2 linked regions of the Mytilus edulis genome follow. The protein of the gene in region 1 binds, or shares a complex with, the protein of each later gene. Links are inferred from orthologs where the notes say so. Each region holds a gene or a part of one and is shown on either strand. Other genes may lie near its edges. The genes, in order: queuine tRNA-ribosyltransferase accessory subunit 2-like and queuine tRNA-ribosyltransferase catalytic subunit 1-like.

The links.
Region 2: the proteins of queuine tRNA-ribosyltransferase accessory subunit 2-like (region 1) and queuine tRNA-ribosyltransferase catalytic subunit 1-like are in contact, whole or in part, in a crystal structure (PDB 7OVS), measured with the Mus musculus proteins. The link is inferred for Mytilus edulis from reciprocal best matches to the Homo sapiens genes QTRT2 and QTRT1. Residues at the interface, in NP_001343258.1 of Mus musculus: Arg39, Thr40, Gly41, Ser42, Ala43, Pro44, His45, Leu46, Thr47, His48, Gln49, Thr50, Asn53, Glu70, His71, Glu73, Val74, Glu77, Tyr78, Phe85, Ile86, Gly87, Phe119, Gln342, Glu343, Phe345, Tyr355, Asn359, His360, Ala363; in NP_068688.2 of Mus musculus: Thr50, Thr53, Met54, Lys55, Gly56, Ile57, Thr58, Thr59, Glu60, Gln61, Ser64, Arg80, Pro81, Leu85, Lys88, Ala89, Phe95, Met96, Asn97, Ala307, Lys308, Phe310, Pro320, Thr324, His325, Ala328, Phe329, Ala332, Leu333, His335.

The regions. Positions count from the first base shown.
Region 1 is NC_092345.1:2,451,186-2,463,624, forward strand, and holds the start of queuine tRNA-ribosyltransferase accessory subunit 2-like, read right to left. Parts: upstream 4,543-12,439; 5' UTR 4,460-4,542; exon of another isoform or gene 4,352-4,459; intron 3,118-4,351; exon of another isoform or gene 3,066-3,117; 5' UTR 3,027-3,065; coding exon 2,909-3,026; intron 2,540-2,908; coding exon 2,458-2,539; intron 1,990-2,457; coding exon 1,926-1,989; intron 1,247-1,925; coding exon 1,142-1,246; intron 1-1,141. Other genes in the region: negative elongation factor E-like, read left to right, coding at 4,769-4,849, 7,630-7,702, 8,541-8,599, 9,662-9,730, 10,253-10,324, 10,892-10,946, 11,691-11,838. UniProt on the Homo sapiens protein: Non-catalytic subunit of the queuine tRNA-ribosyltransferase (TGT) that catalyzes the base-exchange of a guanine (G) residue with queuine (Q) at position 34 (anticodon wobble position) in tRNAs with GU(N) anticodons (tRNA-Asp, -Asn, -His and -Tyr), resulting in the hypermodified nucleoside queuosine (7-(((4,5-cis-dihydroxy-2-cyclopenten-1-yl)amino)methyl)-7-deazaguanosine).
Region 2 is NC_092345.1:52,173,281-52,185,611, reverse strand, and holds the start of queuine tRNA-ribosyltransferase catalytic subunit 1-like, read right to left. Parts: upstream 6,146-12,331; 5' UTR 6,115-6,145; coding exon 5,893-6,114; intron 2,001-5,892; coding exon 1,932-2,000; intron 1,036-1,931; coding exon 897-1,035; intron 337-896; coding exon 258-336; intron 1-257. Other genes in the region: dolichyldiphosphatase 1-like, read left to right, coding at 6,259-6,364, 12,045-12,145.

The sequences.
Region 1 (12,439 bases):
AAACCTCTGCCGTCTAGTCTTTTTTAGTCTTGCATGTTTTTAAAATTTTAGTTCATTTATATGTTTCAGAGTTTAGTGTGACTCCATTTTCACTGAACACATTTTTGTTTAGGAGCCAGCTGAAGGCTGCCTCCAGGTGCGAGATTTTGTCGCTGTGTTGAAGACTTATTGGTGGCCTTTGGCTATTTTCTGCTCTTTGGTTGGGTTGCTGTCTCTTTGACACATTCCTCATTTCCATTCTCATTTTTATGAATAGAGTCTTATATTTTGTGAATAGAAAATAATTACCAGGAACAGGAAGGGCTATAAAATTCTAAGATTATCCTATCCATGAAATAATTGTATAAATTCATATTTTCTAATCCAAATTAATGAGTCTATATTTACTGTAAATTCAGAAATTATTGTGATGTTTTTATTATTGCGAAAAGTGTGACAGGGTTATAATCTCAATAATTTAAAAATGCATTTTGAAATTTTTTATAAGAATTAAAACAGGATTTTGCTCAATATCGCAACAATTAAAATCGCATTTTAGTCTAAAATTACAAATTCACAATAATAAATACACGCAATAGTTTCCGAATTTACAGTTTCCATTGTTTTTGTGTTGTTGGGTTAAGAAATTTTGTTTCCATTGTTTTTGTGTGTTGCTAGGTTAATATCTTTTTTATGTAAATGACCCACCTGCTTTCTTTCCTAATAATCCTAGTAACAAGATGATTCTTTAATGCAGAATTAAATTTATAACATTTCAAACTAGGTCATTAGCCTTATTTTGTTATAAATACACTATTTTAATTTTCTGTCTGGTAAACCAGCAACAAACCAAAATAATTTTAGAAGTAAACATTTACTTTTTACACGTTGTGACTTGGATGCCGAGTTGTCTCATTGGCACTCAAACTACATCTTCTTTATTTCTATTTGAAAATAACACCAAATAATTTTTCAGCTCTTTTAAACTTTTTGCAAATAATAGTCAGCTTATAAATAAAGGCAACAGTAGTATATTGCTGTTTAAAATTAATAAATCGATTGAGAAAAAAAAAAAACGGGTTACAAACTTAAACTGAGGGAAACGCATCAAATATATAAGAAAAGAACATACAAAGTATCTATAAAGGTGAAAAGGCTATACCTTATACTTCCCTCCCTTTGTCCAGATTGCTGTCCCTGATTTTTCATTGTATCCCGAAGGTACCTCTGTAGCTGGGTCATGTAAGGAACAGTAAACTGCAAAATCCTTTAAAAAAATTATAAACTTTGTTTTACATTTTCTTTAAATACACATACACTTCCTAAAATTACTAAAATTTCAACATATGTATAACTCATGTAATTACAGAAACAAAATATTTCTCCTATATTATCTTCAAACATGGGCCCATTAATAAAAATAAATGGATGTGTTGCTGAAAGAATCTAAAATCAAGTTTATAAAACCTGTACAGATTTTTACTCCACGGTTTTGCAATCTGTTGTTTGGCATTTTTTATCAATGGAATATATCCTGTCATTAAAGGTTATGTAGATATTGATATAAACTTTAAACACAGATATATGTCTCGCCTATTTGTGTTATTTTGATAATACAAATATTGAAATAAGAATAGCAATACTTTAACATATAAGTTATGCAAAGATTTAAAGTCAATGAACCATGACTGAAGGTACAGGGCTAAACAATTGCCATGGAAATTAGATGTGCCTATGCTAATATGTTTTACGAGTTGATATAGATGTATTACGCGTTATAAGCAACAGACATTGTAAGTCTGAGGTACTATTTGTCAGTAAGTCTTCCATATAATACAGACATATTACTGATTTTTAACGGACATAGCTATTTTACCTGTGTAGAACTCACATTTAAAAAGACCAATATTTTTTGGTGTAGAACTAAAAGCTGAAGCCATATTTACCTGCATGCCACAGAAATTAGCTATTCCTTCCTTAAACTGTGTGACAGCTTCACTATGTTCTGCCCTGGAAGAAAAAAACATTAACAATTCATGATGATGATGGTGGGAGTTTTTAACAACATTGACTGACTATACAGCCCTCAGGTAAAACAATCCATTTATATTACATCATAAATTTACATGGATATATTAAAGATATAATGAAGGTCATACTCCATACATAATATACATCTTGAATTTATACATTTATGTTGACTTAGTCAAATTAAGGCATGCATATTTCCCATAATAAATATCTTTAAGGGCATGAATGAAAAAGTGAACATCATAGATCATGGGACATAACTCTGCTTATTCCATTGTAAAGGGAAAAAAATGATTCATGGTTCATCTAATTTCATTGTAAAATTATGAAATTGAATCATAATGTATAACATAAAACTGAACAATGCTTTTTGCATTTTAAAAAGTAAAATTTCAACTAATACAATGAAATTTAAAAAGTTATAATTACTCGTTTTATTTTACTTACAGAGAACTTAAATACATGTGAGCCATTGGAGGAACTCTCTGTATCTTCTTTAAGACGTCTAACGTCAAATGAGGAGCATTGCCTAAAAAAGACGAAAAAATATAACACGATGTAAATGTCAATTGGTATATATGACAAAATGCCACTGAAATGAATGTAAACTGTTGGATAGGATTAAATGAGAATTGAAAACACAATGAATTATAAATGTGGAAACTAAACAGTATAACAGTGTGGTGTAGCATACAATTTTATTTCAGTGGTAGGTTATAAGTCATTAATAAAAATAGGATCAGTTATCAAAAATGGAATAATTATTTTATAACAGAAATATTGTCCTAAAAACATACTTTTCATTTCTATGATACAAAACACAAACAATATAGGTTTCTGCAAATTTCTTCAATTTCTTTTTAAACTCTACTTATTTTCATATCCATAATTTACTTACCTCCTCTGGTATATAACATACACATAGGAGTTTCTATACTTTTGGTTCCATTCTTTCCTAGGTCAGTGATAAGCCCTAAACGACAACCATTCTTCACATTCTGCACAGAAAACTTCATTTTTTCTTACAGTTGTGTAATTCAAATCAGATGGGAATACTAAAAATAAAAAAAAACAATGATAAAATATTATAAATTTAAAGATGCAATACTGAATGTCATCATATCGTGTATGTGTATCATATCAACTTAAAAAAAAACCCTAATTTTCTAGTAAACATTGCTGTGGACAATAGACATATTTACACTTGTATGCAAATTTGTACGCCATTACGTAAAATCACACAGGTTCCCGTAAACTCTGACATCATAATTCAAAAATTTGACTTCACATTTAAAAAGTGATTGTTGCTTGACGTCAAAAAGGTGATTCAGAGTAGATTTAAGGTCATTTTGAGGCTATATATAGCTAAATACTAAAAAGTGTAAATGCGTTAATGCTGGGCAGAAAAACCATTTCAAACTCAACCCTCCAATTGTGAACTTTCCATTTCTAAGTAGCAACATTCCAGCAGCACCTGCATACAGGGTACATATCTCCTAAATTGGTACGATATTTCCGTGCTTGTTTTTCTTATCATGATTTTCTTAATAGAGGGTTGCTGCTCACAAGGAAGCTATTAAACCAAGAGTTTCAAATGGCTTCATAAATTTTACAGATGCCATCACGAGTTGGTTGACCGTTATGGAATAACTGTTTCACAGATGATATCGGATATGTTCCTTACGTCATAACTACAATCCCTTTCCCTTTCATGAATGTGACCTACCAATTTAGACTATTTACCGGTTCTGTTATAACATGAGCAACACGACGGGTGCCACATGTGGAGCAGGATCTGCTTACCCTTTCTGAGCACCTGAGATCACCCCCAGTTTTTGGTGGGGTTTGTGTTAATTATTCTTTAGTTTTACGTGTTTTGTCATGTGAACTATCGTTTGTATGTTTTTCTTTTTCATTTTTAGCCATGGCGTTGTCAGTTTTTTTTCGATTTATGAGTTTGACTATCCCTCTAGTATATTTTGTCCCTCTTTTTAAGCTTATTTTTGTTAAATTCGGTATTGGGCTTATCTGATTTTTACAGAATTCTTGATAAACAATTATCTGACTTTGGGAATTGAAAACTCATTGTTTAGGATCCTGGACGAGATCTTTTTTCTGGGGGAGGGAAATTTGGGAAGACATATCTCTCAACCCTGCACATAGCTGACAATAGCGACAAATACAAATGCAGAATAGCTGTATGCTTACTGTTTGCATTATAAATATAGAAGAAGTATATGTCAAGAGAGAGAGGCAGACAGATACAGATGTGACTGTATACTGTTTTGACAGTTGTTTCCTTCATGTTAGTGGGTGTGACATTTTGTTTCGAGAGTAGGACTTTTCTAAGAAAAGCTGTAAATTCTTGGAATGGAACATAATTATCTAAAATTCAGTTTCTTCATACGGTTTGCTTCTCTTTATTTTTACGTGTACCATGTGTACTCACTATACTATTTTACTTGTTTTCATTTGTGGTATTTAGTGAGTCCAAAGGGACCCTTAATTTCTACAACAAAAATATTCCTAAGAATGAATCTCAAAAAATAAATACTCTCTAAAAGGTTTCATTAATGAAAATTTAAAAAAAGCCCATTGTTATCAAACATTTAAACATTTCTAAAACCATTAGTTTTTCTGATAAATGTTTTTGAATTTAATTCTCCCATTTGGATGTTTTTTTACCTTCTACAAACGAAAGCTGATATTTTGTGATAGATAGATTATAATTTTACGGTTTTGAAATATAGAATACAGAATGGTTCACATTATTTTTCCACCAACACTGACAGAAGAAGAAGAAATTCTCAAACAGAAATATGCAAAATTAAGAAAAAAGGTTAACATTTAAGATCGTGTGCAATGGTTTGCTTGGAAAAACAACAAAAAAATGACCAAACAAACTTTTCGAGTTTTCCACTTTTGGCCGAAACGACCAAGGCCAAATCGGCTTCATACATGAATCATCTTTTTTCCTATTATTTATCTTCTTCATGATTTTTTTTTATAGTCATTTACATTTCCTTAATGTGTCCTCGATAATACCAGCAAATATCTAATACCACAGTCACACTAGGCCACGATCTGTGAAAAAAAATGCAAATTTTAACGATCATAGTGTGATCTTGTAGATCTAAGTAAGGTCGTTATACGGTGGTGGTAAGGTCTTCAAGATCGTGATGAGCGTGGCCAACTTTGAACATGTTCCAAACAATCATGGTGCTGTTGAGGCGAAATCAGGTCGTAGTAGAAGTGTAGTGAGGGTGCAGCAAGGTAGTTGTAAGATCGCAAAGGTCTCTGTACCATCTTAGCAAGAGCGTAGCCAAAGCGTGATTCAATTAGGAGAGACTGCGCTACATGTACGATCTCACAGCAACATTACTGCAAGCTCACTATGACCATCACAGTCTCACTGCGATCTACTCTTCCATTATGGCTATACCACATTTACACCATGCTGTTTAAGACCATAGTCAATTCTAGCACACCAATGCCATTATCATCACGCTCTTCTTATAACCTGACTAAGTTCATACTACAACCATCATGCTCATTGTCATTTTCACATGAAATACATAAAAGCCCTCCAGGTTTTGTTTGTCTATATATATGTAATTTGGACCTTTTGTTGTTTTTCTCCAAAGGCTCAACCATGCTTGATCTGTGTCATCCCTGCTATTGTTCACTAAGGCAGCAACCATTTGATTTTCTGGGGGGGGCTATGGTTTTTTTTTCTGTACAACCTTTTTTTATCGCCTGCGGCGAAAAACAATCTATTTTTTTCGCGACAAGTCGAAAACAATTTTTTTCTTTCAATTTTAGCATTACATATAGACTGGCAGCTGAGGGTGAAACAAACATTTTTTTTTTCTCAGAATCAAAAACAAATTATTTTTTTCTCCAAAAACTGGAAACAAACTTTTTTTTCCAAAAAAAACCATAGCTCCCCCAGAAAATCAAATGGTTGCTGCCTAAAACATTGTCATTTGAGCTTGATGGACCAGCAATAGGTTGTGAATCAGGTTGGATTGCTTGGTCCGACATCTCTGCTAGATCAGGATTAGTTACTATCAGAGCTCCCTCTGCCTCTACATCTACTCCTACCACCATGCCCATGTGTTCTGGTAGATTTTGGTGGCATGACTGTGTTTTTTCCGAGAAATCTACGTTTTAATCAGAAATATAAGGAATGGAAAAGTATTTATATGGAACAGGATGTTGATGTTATTGCTGAGAATGTAGTAAGATCGCAATATGAATGTAGTATAATTGTGTTAAGAACGTGCTTTAATCGCAGTAGAAGTGTGGTAAGATCGTGTTGCAATCAGATAACTTTTGGTACAGTCGAAGTGAGAATGTGATGACAGTAGTAAGATCATGATAATGGTAGGAAAAGCGTGGTGAGAACGTGGTATAATTGTAGTGGGATCGTTGTAGAAACATAATGAGGACGTAGTTTCATCATGAAATAACGAAAATTAACATTTTCCTAATGCAACCTCACCACAATCTTTGTTTATATAAGATCTTGGTTAGCATGGTGCGATCATGGTATAGTGTGACTTGGGCTTTACAGATGTACTATCTTTGGCATATCCATCACTTAAAGAGTAACAAGAATGACTGAATTACACCGTTATTATCCGCTGAACAATTGTAATATCCAAATAACACTTGAAATTTGAATACTATGTTATATTAGTAGCTCATATTGGTGACTTTTAAACATTGATTATTAAATAGTAATATATAATTGATGTATTTTATAACTTATAAAATGATTTAAAGAAAGCAGGTAAGTTCATAAAGATCATTTTAAATTTTGTGTGTACATCTAACATGGCAGCCATTGTGATTTCTGTGGTCGCCATGTTGGGTGTACACACTTTATTCAAAATGATCTTTATAAACTTACCTGCTTTCTGTAAATCATTTGTAAGTTAAAAAATACATCGATAATATACTATTATTTAATAATCAATGTTTAAAAGTCACCAATATGTACATGCACGTGCATATATTAAAATTTCAAGTGTTATTCGTTCATTACAAGTGTTATTTGGATTATAATGGTGTTATTCGGTCATTCAATGTACCGTCACTTAAATGGTGTCAGACCTTTAATTCTGACAGTCCTTAACTCCAACAATCCTATGGTTTGACAGTCCAATAATGTGGCAGTCTTTGAAAAATTTTTGTACAGAATATAGATGTGTTACTGTTGTAAATTGGTATATTTTTTCACACAGAAAATTATCAAATCAGTCAGAATGATGCCTTGTACAGAGTCACACTAATCCCATATGAACAGGAACTGAAGCAGCTGTCTAAATTCAATTGGCAAACTTCAGATGAATCCGCTAATAATCTAAGATCATGTAGATGGTGGAACAGAATCAACCAAGTTTTGACAATTGGGTCTAAAACAGTAATAGGCCAGTCTTAAATGATTAATAGGAGAGCATTTATTACTTCAACATCAACCAGAGTTAATCAAGTTGCCATTTTAAGTGCATGTGCAACAACAAAAAAACTATTAAGAAAATTTAGGAACATTTCATTTTGCAAAGACAATTTTATATAATCATGATATATCAGTATATCCCTTATTATTTTCAGAAAAAAGCGTTATTAGCTGCTAGAACTCCAAAACCAGAGAAAGAACAACCAATCAATGCGCCAACAAAACGAGGTATATATTTCGAAGAAGATTAAAATCATTGAAATTTAGATCCATCTAAGAACTTTAGAATCTCCATATTTGTTCATGTTTTTTGGTGAATATTGTACTAAGACTATGTAGTCATAAAGTATTAAACACCTTTTTAAAGGAATTTATTGGTGTATAAACTTAACCAATTCACTCTTAAACAAATAAAGGAAGGACTTTTATAATATGTTTGTGAGTGACTTGGCCCAGTTTATACATACAATAAATTCCTTTAAATTGGTGTCAAATCCTTATAATTCTTTAAAATTTAAGATAATAAACTTAATTTCCTCACTTGTAACCTCTATTATACATAGATTTTCAAATTGAGAATGGGAATGGGGAATGTGTCAAAGAGATAACAATCCAACCAAAAATTGTATATTTGTGTCATTGAATGAAAATTTAATTGGTGCATAATGTCGAGAGCCACTACTGGAAGCCCTCTCGATCAATCATATAAATGTATCATAATAGCCAAATCATATTAAAATTGTGATTAATTAAAGGCCCTGTTTAAAGGAGATGAACTTAAGCCAAGTTGGCTGAAGGAGATACCAGTACTTTTAAGACTGTGTATAGATCATAAACTTAGTCAGCTTCTGAAATGTTGTTAAGATGAAGTATTATGACTTGCCATTAAACAATTGAAATGTATGGCATATTTTGAAAATTTGCTCACCTGAAAATTAAATTTCTGTATAATAGAGTAGAAGAAAATTATAATCCTGATCAACATGATCAAGATAAATTTAAAATACACTTTTTAATGAATGAATTAAATCTAAAGCATTATTTAGTCATTTTGATTTTATTGTAGCGCCTCCAGAAAATGCAGGAGATGCCACACAACAAGCTAAAAAATTATTGAAGTTAGGGGTAGGTAATTGTAGGTGGATCCAAGGGGGCCCTGGGGCCCCCCTTTTGTGGGAAAAATTTGGTTGATTATATAGGGAATCACTGAAGCATGACTGGAGCAGGCCCCCCTTAGGTCAGTCAGCGGACCCCCTTAGGAAAAGTACTGGATCCGCCACTGGTAATTGAATACCACGTTATTATACAGTGTTACCTGCCTAATCCGACACCTAACTATTCAAACATCCTGCTATAACGACACATTTTTATGGTCCAAAAATATGCCTTTCCTTTCAGGAAAAACCTGCTTTATCTGACAATTTTTTTCTGGTCTCCCAATTTGTGGGATAATGCAGGTTACACTGTATCTGTATCTATAAGAAGATGTGGTATGATTTCCAATGAGACAACTCTTCACCAGAGACCAAATGATAAGCAATATAACAACTATCGATCACAATAGGACCTTCAACAATGAGCTAAATCTTATTTGCATAGTTAGCTATGAATGACTGGGAAATGACAAATGTAAATAAATTAAAACGAGAAAACAAATGACCTTATTTATGTATAAAACAGTAAATGAAAAACAAATATGATATACATAGAGCCTCAAAGGGAGACCACTGAGTAACAGGGTCATTATTCACATATACTACAATTTTCTGAAGTTTGGGTTAAGAAACAAATACATATAGGAAGATGTGGTATGAGTGCCAATGATACAACTCTATATCCAAGTCATAATTTGTAAAAGTAAACCATTATAAGTTAAAGTACGGTCTAAGTACATTTGTAAATATATGTGGTTACATATGTATACTGAAATTGGGTAGGAAAATTAAGTACTATGATATATATGATTATTTATATTAGTATTTAAATGAAAAATAAGGCATGCAAAAACGTCCAGATATGCAGTATGCCAAAAATAATATATTTTGAAATGTGTACCATATAATTTACATACAAATGAAAAAAATAAAGAATGCCAATGGGCAATGATTTGAATTTATATTGATATACAATGATTAACACAAATTTTAAAACTGCAATATTTGTAACAGAAATTTTGTTTTTTAAAAGGCAATTAAGATAAAAGAAAGTCAGGAAAAGCAGAATTTTAAAAGATCAAAGAACTTTGAAAAGAGAAAGGTAAGTTGTCTTGCCTCACTCCGACATGTCAGATGTTGAAACATGACTTAGGCATGCTGTTTCTGTCTCATGATAAGTGTCAAACATTGGGAGCATGGGTAGATCTTATGCACTTAATGATTTATTTTTAAATTTCAACATAAACTTTTTAACTATGGAATAATAAGAGAGGAAAGTGTGGCGTTTTATTTACATTGACAGATGGGTTGTAAATTATGGGCTAATGACATCTACTCTTTTAAGAATCAATCAATAGTTCAAATACAAAGGCAAACTAGAAAGTAATAATATATAGATGAACATCAAACTATTGAAAGGTTTTGCTTTATACAGATTATTTGTGTACAATTATTCAAACAGGACGAGGACAAGTTTCTCCTGGTTTTCAGATTTTGAACTGTAACATAACAGTATAAAATTGAGAGTAAAAAAACGAAAAATGTTTGAAACGAAAAAAATCATAAAAAAAGAATTGTATGTGGCAAGTCATTTCAACAAAACAGTATCTGTCTTTTTCTACAGGACTCTGAGAAGATTCCAGCTGTGGGATTTCAACCATTCTCATCGTCACACCAGGATGAGGAAGAAAAGGAGGTAATAAGGTCAAAGATTTATATTTATAATTGTTGGCATAGTAACAGTTTAGAAGGAACATGATTGAATTTAGATCATTCTCAATATGTCTGTACCTTAAGACAAAAAGTAAAGTTATTGTTGACATAGTAACAGTTTAGAAACTTTAGAAGGAAAATGAATCTGATTTATGACATCAGAAAACAAAAAGTGAATTAAAAAATATATAAAAGATTAAACAGTACCCTTAGAATAGCTGTAAAGGCATTGGTGAGAGCCATACATGTTTATAAAATCAGTTGGGAATCAAAGGAACTTGAAAAAGGAGGGTTTCATCAAGGCATCATTAGGGGTTGGACTTGTCAAAAGTGGGTTCTGGAATGAAAAAGAATAATAAAATGTCCTTCAAATCTTTCTGGATATCATAATAAAAACAGATTGCACCACCCTATCTCGTGTAAATTGATTTAAATATTTTAAACAATAAACGAGCCTCATTTTTAAATCCCAAAAGGTCACTGTCTTGTGAGGAGAAATATCTTATCAAATGTGATCACCTATGACAATTAATTATATGTTCCATTTCAGAAGAACAGACCAAGAGCGAGAGGTCTATATGATACCTTTGTAAGTGGAGGTACCGGTAAGTTATGATTAATTGAAGAATAATAAAGCCTGTTATTTGGCCCCTGAAATTGCATAAATATCAGTAGTAAAATTACCTAGTCTTTTCAATATTACGTTAGTTCTATTATTAGGACAATATAATCTGGTCTAAAACATCATTTGTTATGTCACTCATAACATCATAGTCATATTTGACCAAAATCTGCCATTAATGGATTTTTCATATCTTTTTTTTAGATAATAAAGTTTGAATTCTAAATGCATATATATAAGAAATGGTTCAAAAATATAAATACATTACTCAGTCTTTTTTTTTTTTTTTATAGATATAAGAATATGTGGTATGAGTGCCAATGAGACAACTCTCCATCCAAGACTTAATTTGTAAAAGTAAACCATTATAGGTCAAAGTACGGTCTGCAACAGGGAGCCTTGGCCCACACAGAACAGCAAACTATAAAGGGCCCTAAAAATGACTTGTGTCAAACCATTCAAACAGGAAAACAAACGGTCTAAATCTATATTACAAATGAGAAAAGAGAAACACTTAAGAACCACATCAACAAATGACAACTACTGAACATCAGGTTCCTGACTTAGGACTGGTGCAAACAAATGCATTTTAAGGAGGTTGTTTGATAGTTTTAATGTATTTTTTCAATTTCAAACAGGAACAAATATTATTTCTACTTACATGTATTAACACAAAAATTGATAATCACTTAATTAACCAAATTCAAATATAACTTTATTTGTACAGAGAGAGAAGGAGGGAGAGAGAGGGAACCACCGCCAAAGAAAGGACATACAATATATGTAAATGGTAATGGCATCTCAGAAGACATTCTTAGAAAAGCCTTCAAAGATATTGGTACTATATCACATATCACCATGGAGAAAGACAAAAAGTAGGTCATTTCACATATCACAACGTAGAAAGACAAAAAGTAGGTCATTTCACATATCACAATGGAGAAAGACAAAAAGTAGGTCATTTCACATATCACAATGGAGAAAGACAAAAAGTAGGTCATTTCACATATCACAACGAAGAAAGACAAAAAGTAGGTCATTTCACATATCACAACGTAGAAAGACAAAAAGTAGGTCATTTCACATATCACAACGTAGAAAGTCAAAAAGTAGGTCATTTCACATATCACAATGGAGAAAGAGAAAAAGTAGGTCATTTCACATATCACAAAGTAGAAAGTCAAAAAGTAGGTCATTTCACATATCACAATGGAGAAAGACAAAAAGTAGGTCATTTCACATATCACAATGTAGAAAGACAAAAAGTAGGTCATTTCACATATCACAACGTAGAAAGACAAAAAGTAGGTCATTACACATATCACAATTGAGAAAGACAAAAATTAGGTCATTATTTTAAACATATTTTATTGTTCAAATTTTATCAATATTATTATAACTATGAATACCAGTATAAAATTAAGAAGGTGTGGTTTGATTGCCGATGAGACAACTATCCAACAGAATCCAAACGAA
Region 2 (12,331 bases), about 50 Mb from region 1:
CATGACCTTTAAGTCCTTAATACACAAATAGACACTCAACCAAAACTTTCTAAATATATGTGTTTTTGCTGATATTTTTAGAAGATATTAGGAGTCAATCAAATGTCAAAGCATTAATTTTCCTTTCCTTCTGACCTTTTCAGTGTGCTGGTGGTTAATAATTGTATGAATTCCTACATGCTATTCCTACACCTACATTATTATCTACAAACAATATCGGTATCAGTAATTAATGTGATGGAATCAATAAATTCTACCTCCACATGGCTTCTTCTAGTCTTTCTCCAGTTGTAGAACTGTGTACAACATCATCAAGTTGCATAATTATATCAGCTCCTGTAAAAAAAGGCTTTAAATGTAAAAAAAAATATTTAAAAATCATTAATTCCAATTACAATTATATCCTAAAGCTTCTATGTCAGATTAAAAAACAAGGTTAAATGTATTAAGATGAAGAGAAATATTTAAAAACAGTGGCAAAATGAGAAAGATGTGCTCAAAGGGAGGTAAGTTAACTATAAAATTTGACAGTAATTTTATATTAAGAATAGTGGAAATTTCATTATTTGAAAATTTAGGAAGATTACCTTTATCCATCCTCAAAGAATATAGGGCATATTAAGATTAACATGCATCAGTGAAAAAACTATGTGAATTAAGTTTTTTATCCTACATTGAACTTATGATGGTGTCCCTAAGTCAAAACATGTTTAGACTTTCACATGTCCAAATTGGTTTAATGCCAGAGTTACCTTTCTTTTTCATTCACATAAATGTCTAAAACAAGTTGATAGCAGTCAAACTTCATACATAATTGTTGCAACGTTTACTGATTATAAGAATGATAATACTGATTAGAATCAATCATATTTATATGAACAGAAATAAACTACAACCTATAGAGTTTTGTATTTCAATGGACTTCTCAGGAGTGAGCATCATTTCAGATCCATCATGGGGAGATTGAAATTTAACTCCCTCTTCTGTAATCTCAGCTAATTTTAGTAAGGAAACCATTTGGAATCCACCACTGTCCTGTAAAAAGAAGGAAAACTCTTATTGAATAATGACAAGTTGGAAGAATAAGGAAAAAAATCATTTGCAGATCACAAAAAAAATAATATAAATGGTCATTACAGATACATTTAACTACAACTGACATTATTTGAAGTTATTGAATAAAAGACAATTTTGAAAGTAGAAGAAATCTTCAAAAGCTATTGACTACCAATATTGACTATACATTGCAATATAAAGATACATGTATCAAAACAGAGAAAAATCAAGCACCACTCTTTTTATTTATGTGTTGTCATCAACATCTTAAACCTGCTAAATACTGAAAGTTTAAAAGCCTACAGATGAACTGTTCTATGCAACCACAACTAACATACACATTAAAAGAGTTTGAACTAAATCCTATACAAATTTAACTTGTGCATTTTTCTTTCTTCATGTACACGATGTATATCATTCCACAACATTTAATAAATGCCAGTGATAAACCAAAACATGTTTCAAGTATGATAATTATATTGTTCTATTTTTAAGTTTTATTCAGTAAGTGCATGTTTTATATTAGGAAGCTATCTTCCAGCCATAATCAACATGATCAAGACAAGAACATATCAATGTTATATGAATATGAACATTCTTTGTACATAAGGCACACTTTGTTCCAGATTTTTGAAGTTCTGAATCACCATGTAACACTACATATATAACAGTTGACAAGAACATGTGTCATCTCATATAAACACATGACCAGTGCTTAGAAAAGTAGTAGCAATTAAAAATTTAACCATGTTAACAGTTAGATGTTTGATATAACAATGGAATAGACCAATCTCTGGCATGCTAACATCAAAGCATTCAAAGTATCATGGGATTTTAAACATGAATCATAATAATATGTATTACATATAGCTTACTGTCAGTAAAGATCTGTTCCAATTCATAAATTTATGAAGACCTCCAGCTTTTTCTAATAGTTCTGGACCCTGAAATAAAAATCAGTCTTTAACTTGTTAAAAGGAAAATATAATTTTGTAAGAAAAGTGTTACATACTGGTGAATTAACTGTGAATTATAAATATTTTCATGAAAGAAATGCATTCTAACTTCCACATTTTTCTTATCAATTTTTTTTTTCCAAGTCTCTCAACAAATGAACAAATGTAAATGCCTGGTTCTGTGCCTTATGTCAAAATTATTAGAAAATTATTTGAAAAGTAACACTGATCTGCTTACCACATTTAATACACAAACCAAATACAGTAACTTGAAGCAATGGTAAGGCCAAATAAAATAGAATGTGTGGTTCCAGTTACATCAACTTAATTTTGAAATCTTGGGGCATGCTTTGATTATTAGCATTGTGTATGAGATTCATAAAATTTGGATAGGTGAGGGCAAACTTTGGGGTGGTTGCTGAAACAAACAAAAAAATGCAATTTTTGGTTTAATAAAGGGCATTACTCTAACACACAAAATGACTCACTACCCCAATTTCTGTCTGCTTTTATCATGATTGTAGGTTCTTAGCATTATCATAATTACATGTATGTACAAGTTTCATAACATTTAGATAAGCCTGATGAGTAAAACGTACATTTTTTTAAGTCATAATGCTGAAACAGAAAAATTGCAATTGTCCCTGCATTAAAAAGGGGCATACCAATAGAATAGTAGGTTAATCACTACCTAAATTAGAACTCAATCTGCATAAGAGGTCCCAAGTTCCAAACCTTCGTCTTGCTGTCATATTTGGAAGGCTAATCATGCTGTTCACTGACAAATACATAAACTCAAACATGCTTACAGGGATAAGGGCTTCACAGTCTTTATTTTTGTGTATAATTTGTTTTGTAGGACTTGTCCCCTCTTTCATAATTTAAGGATGTACTTAGGCGAGGTTTTGGAATATGTGTCAAATGTTCGGATTCCTTGGTGTTTTTCCATACAATACAATGTAAAATATTTTGCCCCATAACACCCATTTATTTTTTCATATAAGACTTAATAGCTCATGAAAGGTCATTTACCAAAATTTTAGAAGATTCTTAATTTTCTTTCTTTTGTTTTGAGACCTAATAATACCAATGCAAATATAAGGTAAAAGTCAGAGTCAGCCTTTTCCCGCCATATTTTAAATCTCAAAGATGTCGAAAATGAGGTCCATGACCTATCAATATTTTTAGCTTATTTTTATCCTTAAAGGGAAACTTCGCAAAAAAATCAAAAATTGATATTATGTTTATTCTGTATAAAAATGCTCAAATTCATAGATATTAAAGTTTTATTCTGCTAGATAAGAGATCACCATCGATTTTAAATTTAGAGTATCAATTTTCTGAGGTCAGCCATTTTGTCACCTTCTCCGATTTGCAGTCACGATATGTCTAAGGACCAAAACCACAGTAACCCGATGTAGTCGTAATTGTGTGTCGATATCTCGTCAATCGTACAGTTGTTTTATCCGACTAGTTAACTAGTTAACTAACTTGATACGGAAAATGTTCTTCTTTTTTTTTTAAATAACCATGATCTGTTATTTTTAGACTGATAATATAGGAATTTAATAGTGAAAAAGTCAAAATTTCAAATCATAAATAAGTCTTCCGTGAAACTTGAATTGTTTTCGGAAATCTAATTAGTTCATAATTCTTTTAAGTAATAAACTTTATTCAAATAAATTAGGATCTTCGCTCCACTGATCACCCGCATGGCTAAAGGTATTACTCCCAAAGATATTGTAGGGGGTGTGAGGTGACACGTCCAGGTATTTAAGCGATTTCCTGTCGAGTTTGCAAATTCATGCATCGTTTCACTTCATAGTGTATTGATAAGTGTACACGGCCGATAACTTATAACTTTCCATTTTGAACTATTAGGTGTATAATATACATCTCTATCTTGCGTGTCCGAAAGTGATATTACTAAACTCATACGCTTGTTTATGAATAACATTTCTGGTGAAAAGAAAATTATTTATAAAAATATAAATAATACCAAAAAAAAAAAAAACAGATTTGATGAAATAAAAATCTATATACGTATTTTTTCCAAGGGTAAATTTGGTAAAATGTAATATATCTCGAAAAAAGGAAGAAATTCGCCATCATCACAATTGTTCCGACATGCATGTAATATATACGCAACTGGAAGTACACTAATACCGAGGGATGTGAATATTTTCCAGGAAAACTATAGAGTATCAAAGTTTCAAATCAATTTGGGGATTTATTTTCTCTCTTGATATTCAATGACAGCAATTTAAAGAATAAACTGCTTGTCCGTTTTAGTGGTATTCTTGCCAGTTGAAACAGACTTATAATTACATTAAAAAATTGGGAAAGATGACATTTAATTCGTTCATTTTTTTTTTAATACATCGTTGGTCAAATAGCTAAAGTATTATATATAGTTACGGTGTGAGACAAAGAGTATTTTAAGAAGGACATTCCCGATTATGTATAAATTTTGTTGATGTTTTTCACACTTGAAAAGCATATCTGTTCGTAATTTGTTTATTCCATTCCAATTAGATCCTTTAATTTCCTGTCAATTTTTTAAAACATCTTTTTTCAAATATCTGAAGTATTCATGTGTTGCGAGATTTAAAATATTTTGATGAGCAGTTTAATTCCTAAATAGGTAATTAAAGATCACTATGGATGGACTAAATTATATAATTACAATTGTTAATGATCTGTTTGAAATATTTAAGGCTGCCGTTCCTAATTTGAAAAAGTACAATTTTTAGTTCATAAACTCGTGTTTAGAAGGCTATTTTTTTTATTTATAAATTCTTCAATTAAAATAATTCAGTATTTTATCGTTACTAAAGTAATCAAAAGTCATAATTCATTAAAAGTGATCTTATGCAAAATATAAAAATATACAACAGCTATCCAGTTATTGTGCAATCTTATTATTCCCGTTAATTAATTTTAATTATTTTTTTTTACATTCATGTGTCTGAAACTTTGTCCGACTCCCGTTTACAATTGATACGAAATGTTGTTCACACCTGAAATGCCAGTGAACCGTGACGCCTAGATTTCACTGAATGAGGATCAAAAGATTAGAATTACATAATGCTAATCTTTTAATTACCTTGAGTTAAACTACGCATTCCACATTCTTTAGGTGTCACAAAACAATACACATTTTATTGTTTCCACCCGTACAAGCAAGTGAAAATGATTGCTGGAATGAAGCACAATGGTCAGAATACAAACATGTATTTTTAATACACTATCGATCATGTCAGTTTCGTATGTTTGTTTAAAGTATTTTTAGAAAAAAAATCATAAAAATGTTCTATTGTATGATTTACTTTTATTATTAAAATTCGTTTTAAAAAATCCACACGATCTTATTTTAAAAGTTGCATGGCTATCACTTATTTTTCGTTGGTTAATAGCTACACCAAAAGTCGTCGATGCGCTTTAAATCGCGTTATTAGATGGTTAACGAACAAGACTTAAATGAGATATTTTCACTCCCGGCATGCATCAAAGACTTAACTACGTCACATAAGTCAGGAAGTTTCAAAAAATAAAATTAATAATTCCCAATTTTCTTCTTTATTAGATTTCATATCAAAATAAAACTTGGTGAATATGTTTTTTATGGTATTATGAACATAATAAGATGAAAAGTGAAAAATCGCGAATTATCCCTTTAATTGATGCTCTACCAGCTTATAGAATCAATTTTAACTTCTTGATTTATTAATTTTCACCTAACCTCACCTAAGTACATCCTTAATGTCTTTCATGTCTTTATTATCCCTCATGTTTAAACTCTTTAAATGATCAATCACTATTCAAGATATTGATTGGTTTCAAATTAATGTTGTATCATTCAACATAGTAAACATCTTACAGGTCTATTACCAAGATGGTAAGTATTTCCTAACATGATTTTACAGTCTAGCTCCTCTAATTGTTCAGGTAACAGACCCTTCAGCGTTCCTTGTGTACCAACTGGCATAAAAACAGGAGTTTCTACAATAGAATGGGGAAGTGTCATATGACATGCTCGGGCTTTTGTTGTTGAACATTCTGCTAAGATTTTCAGTGAGAGTGCATGTGCTTTGGAAGTCATGTTTGTTTCTAATTTTATTCAAACCAATCAAAATTCATTTCTCAATCAAACCCTACTTTCGTTTTGCTTTTAACCAATCAATTGCATTCTTTTGGCGATTAGTCGGTTGGCTGCTGCTTGCGTTGCAATCGATTTCCGGTCAATATGGCAGATGTCAACACTGGAAATTTGGCACCTGATGTCTTAGAAAGTAGCACACAAACCATACAATGGAAGTCTATATCGTTAACTCATGTGGAATATCCTAAAGGTCTAGTTATGAGCTAATGTCAGTAATGAAAAACAGCACCACCGCGTTTAAAATGAATATAGGCCCATAAATTAACAATATTGATTGATACATTAATGCCTACATTATCCCAAATTGAAGATAATCATATCATTATTTACAAAATTTCGAAGTCCAATGAGAAAGTTGGTACTTGTAACATTAACATGCCTAAGAATATTGCATTGAAAAACATTCAATTTGTTCTGAGGTCCAGGTCTGACTGTACATCATAGGGGTTTGTTACAAAAAATCATTTTGCGGGTTTACTATCCATACAAACCCCGAAAAAATCACAAGGGAGGAAGCTCATTTGCCACAATGCTTCAAATTATTGTTTAAAATTTTTTTTTAAGACTTTCACTTACATTGTGATCTGAATAAATCTCTTCCCACTTGAATTACATGTATATCTTCAATGACATATATTTATTCCCTTAAGTAACCTCTATAACTATTGTAATCCTTAAAACAAACTCAACATTTCTGGAATAGAATGAATCAAGGACCTACATTTGAAAATGAAAGTCCTAAAGCTACACCTACAGGAAAATATATTTTCCGCACTCTCTGGAGTTTACGATAGTTGTCACGTTTTTTGGAAGTCCACTGTATTTTAGGTTTCAATAATGTCAAAATGACGGGAGTTATTAGGTACACACTGTGTTTCTTTGTCATATTATGGTAAACTCCAGAGAGTGCCGAAAATATATTTTCCGGTAGATTTTGCTATAGTACTTTCATTTTCAAATGTAGGTCCTCGATTCATTCTATTCCAGAAATGTTCTTCGTACGGATAGTAAACACTGTCACAGCAAATTGTAACAAACCCCTTTGGGTACATCTTATCACTATTTGAAAATCTGTTTCGCTTGACCCTTAGAATCTGTGCCAGTTGAACTTTTGACGTCATTTAACAACCACTTTTCCATTGTGTCTGCTGATATTTTCTACTGTCATGACTGTAATGTCAAAATTTTTCGCGAACCTAAAAGCGGTGTCCAGTGATGGCGGACAAATTGCAATAAGGTGAATAGTGCTGGAGCGGTGTTTAGCCAAGAAATTGTTAAGGCACCAAAAATTGAAGCATGTAAACCTTTTTAGCTCACCTGGCCCAAAGGGCCAAGTGAGCTTTTCTCATCACTTGGCGTCCGTCGTCCGTCGTCCGTCGTCGTCGTCGTCGTTAGCTTTTACAAAAATCTTCTCCTCTGAAACTACTGGGCCAATTTTTACCAAACTTGGCCAAAATCATCATTGGGGTATCTAGTTTAAAAATTGTGTCCGGTGACCCGGCCAACCAACCAAGATGGCCGCCATGGCTAAAAATAGAACATAGGGGTAAAATGCAGTTTTTGGCTTATAACTCAAAAACCAAAGCATTTAGAGCAAATCTGACATGGGGTAAAATTGTTAATCAGGTCAAGATCTATCTGCCCTGAAATTTTGAAATGAATCGGACAACCCGTTGATAAGTTGCTGCCCCTGAATTGGTCATTTTAAGGAAATTTTGCCGTTTTTGGTTATTATCTTGAATATTATTATAGATAGAGATAAACTGTAAACAGCAAAAATGTTCAGTAAAGTAAGATCTACAAATAAGTCAACAGGACCAAAATGGTCTGTTGACCCCTTTAGGAGTTATTGCCCTTTACAGTCAATTTTTAACCATTTTTCGTAAATCTTAGTCATCTTTTACAAAAATCTTCTCCTCTGAAACTACTGGGCCAAATTAAACCAAACTTGACCATAATCATCATTTGGGTATCTAGTTAAAAAATTGTGTCCGGTGACCTGGCCAACCAACCAAGATGGCCGCCATGGCTAAAAAAAGAACATAGGGGTAAAATGCAGTTTTTGGCTTATCACTCAAAAACCAAAGCATTTAGAGCAAATCTGACATGAGGTAAAATTGTTTATCAGGTCAAGATCTATCTGCCCTGAAATTTTGAGATGAATTGGACAACCCGTTGATAGGTTGCTGCCCTGAATTGGTAATTTTAAGGACATTTTGCTGTTTTTGGTTATTATCTTGAATATTATTATAGATAGAGATAAACTGTAAACAGCAAAAATGTTCAGCAAAGTAAGATCTACAAATAAGTCACCAAGACCAAAATGGTCTGTTGATTTCTTTAGGAGTTATTGCCCTTTATAGTCAATTTTTAACCATTTTTCGTAAATCTTAGTTATCTTTTACAAAAATCTTCTTCTCTGAAACTACTGGGCCAAATTAAACCAAACTTGGCCACAATCATCATTGGGGTATATTGTTTAAAAATTGTGTCCTGTGACCTGGCCAACCAACCAAGATAGCCGCCATGGCTAAAAATAGAACATAGGGGTGAAATGTAGATTTTGGCTTATAACTCTGAAACCGCAGCCTTTAGAGCAAATCTGACATCGGGGTAAAATTGTTTATCAGGTCAAGATCTATCTGCCCTGAAATTTTCAGATGAATCTGACAACATGTTGTTGGGTTGCTGCCCCTGAATTGGTAATTTTAAGGAAATTTTGCTGTTTTTGGTTATTATCTTGAATATTATTATAGATAGAGATAAACTGTAAACATCAATAATGTTAAGCAAAGTAAGATTTACAAATAAGTCAACATGACTGAAATGATCAATTTTCCCCCTTAGAAGTTATTGTCCTTTATAGTCAATTTTTAACAATTTTCATAAAATTTGTAAATTTTAACTAACATTTTCCACTGAAACTACTGGGCCAAGTTCATTATAGATAGAGATAATTGTAAGTAGCAAGAATAGAGATAATTGTAAGTAGCAAGAATGTTCAGTAAAGTAAGATGTACAAACACATCACCATCACCAAAACACAATTTTGTCATGAATCCATCTGCTTCCTTTGTTTAATATTCACATAGACCAAGGTGAGCGACACAGGCTCTTTAGAGCCTCTAGTTCTTCTTTTTAAATGACAAAGAATTTAACAAATCTTTAATTCTAAGAAAGAAATTTTACAGTCTAGTAGATCAGGGGTCACCACACCAGGCGAAGTGAGCGACAAAGTCGCTCTAGGTCTCCCCACTTCGCTCTAGAGAAGCTCCAGGGAGAAGTTTATGTCGCCCTCGATTTTCAGTAAAATTCCCCAATGTCGCCTCATGGTTTTTGAGAAATTCTCGATTCAAACGTAAACGACTGATAGGTATTGAAATACAAAGCATGTTTTCCTCAAATTCAGAACTGATTTCTCCGCGATAGTATCATACTTCAACATAAAAATTGCTTGCCCGGGTGTACTATAAGCAAGAAAAAAGAAAAATCTCGATTTTTTTATGATTGTTAATTGTCCGCCATCTTTGTTATTGAAAATTGTAGATGGCGCCATTTCATCTTTTCAACTCTCATCGTTTACCTAATCCATATTGATATGCACTATTAATTTTGATTTTCTTATATTTACTGACAATATGTGATGTCCCATAAAAATTTTTAGATTTCTTTTCAAAAACGGAATATTATCAACTGGTATCTGCTTGTATTTTTACTACGTACGTAGTTTAGTACACTGCCGGGAACCAGCACAACGATTATAAACTATAACGCAGTCGTTTTTTTTGTTCAGGATTTTGTTTAACAGACTGATACATGTGCTTTGTTTCAGCTAAAGGTCCTTAAACAGTATTTCAATGAATATCTGCTCATGAATTTGATTAGGAACGGCAATATTTACTTCCAAAGTCGTATATTTTGAAAAATATAAAGTAAGAATTTTTGACGCGGATCGCACCGTATTTGTTTTTAATTTACAAGTACCAATTCAATTCGGGTTATGAAAAATACGACTTTTCCGATGTTACTTTTTGTGATTTAGTCATATTAAACACTCGTGAAGTGTTTTAGAATCAATTACATACATTTCTAACGGCAACTTGATTTTGGAAATCGGCATTTCCATGAAAATATCGCAAACATGTGCGATTACATATACACGATTTGAAATAAACAGTTTTACTTTACGTTTTCAACACATGTCAAACAGTTTTCTCTCTGAATTCTAATAACATATTATTTTAAGAACAAATACATTTTTGAATCATGATCTTAGCTATGAAAGACATTGAAACCATATTTTAACTTTTCTCAATTGATTATTATTTTTGTTTTAAAAGGTTCTTGGACTTAGTTTAATTTTAAAGTCTTTGAAATGCAGCATAATTTGATCCATGTCAAATCTTCAATTCATTTAGACCTACCAGAATAAACATACATGTAGCTCTTATGCCATTAACTTATGGTCCTTATGTCATGATATTTTGTGACAATTTGCATAGGTACACATGTAAATAAAAAAGTATTTCAGACTACAAGCATGGCAAGACAAGGACTTACAAAATGTACTTCCTTAGCAATTGTCAATCACAAATGATTAGAAAAGTAGCAAAAAGGTATAGATTCTTAGAAAATTTTATTCATAAAAAGTATAAACGCGATCTGTTGATTTTCCCTGAAGGCTCCCTGTTGGGCCTTCACTTCTCCCTGAAGTCTCCCTGTTGGGTCTTCACTTCTCCCTGTTTGGCTGCCAGGGAGAAGTGACTTCTCCCTATAATTTTGAAGTGTGGTGACCCCTGGTAGATATCCCAAACTATCTTACATTTCATAATTGAATTATGAAAATTAACACGCTGAGGGATCAAGTATTAAGTGACTGGTCAATTTTACATGATTAAGGCACTGCAGGATAAAAAATATATATCTCAAGGGCACTGCTGGACTGTGTTATATCATTTGTATATTGGCCTGGTGAGAACACTACAGAGAAGTATAAATTCTACCCTTCAACTGTACATGTACACCTTATTGCTGTTTGTCAGTCATTCCTGGACATGACAGCCATTCTCATAAAACTTTTGATGTTGTAAGAAAAAAAAAATTGTCTGTCACCACAAAAGAAAAATGGCTGTTGCATACATCATGTACATTTGTTATGTCAGTAATTCAAGAGTGAAGTTCTGGGGTCAATGGTCACAAATTCTTTATAAGTGATACAAGTCTACTGAATAATACTTATCTCGAACACCTATGGCCATACCTTTAAATGCTAAAAAATGTCTAAAAACTTCAACCTGTTGTACATGTACTGTACTGTAAACAAGACCAGTCCTTGAATATCAACTCTTTTACAGGTTAAATGGTTAATGAGTCAAAGGATTGTCTAGTAATCGCTTCTAGGTTCAAATGCTCAATTTGACAACACTAGTTAACTTATGAACAAAAAACATGTACTGAAGCCAAATAAAGTGTGCGTCATGCAAAGAATTTGACGTTTATCATGTTTTCATGTATATTACAAAAAGATTGGGGATGGAACAACTTTATTTATCATTTATATCACCGAACACAAATTCAAAAACATTCATTTAAAAATTTACTGAAAAATAAGGTTCAAGGGACTGAATTGAAAAACTTTAAAAAAATATAAATCAAATTGTAATGTTTGCTCCGAATACAGAATTAAGTGCCTTTCAACTTTGACTTTTACTTTCCTTACAGCTTTACTAAACATGGAAAACTTTTTCAAGTATTTACTTGACATGCAAATGACATGATAATTTACTTACAAAATGTACTCAATGTAAATAAATCATGAATGCAATATTTTTTTGTACCGTAATTAAAACCTTTTCATATTTCTGTTCCAGGAGATTTGATTGGATATGTTTTAGCATGGTTTAGTCTGGTTCCAATTTTTGTATGTGTTGGATTTGCTGCTCTCATTATTTTTAGACGTGATTTACACACGGTAAGTACATGAATTGTGTACATACACAACAGCCCTAGGCCCCTAGTGGATTTGCTTTTTCCACCTGCCCACAGAGGACAGCCTACCTGTGCCCACTCTGGCTATATTCTCTCTTTTTTATGCCCCACCTACGATAGTAGAGGGGCATTATATTTTCTGGTCTGTGCCTCCGTTCGTCCATTCATT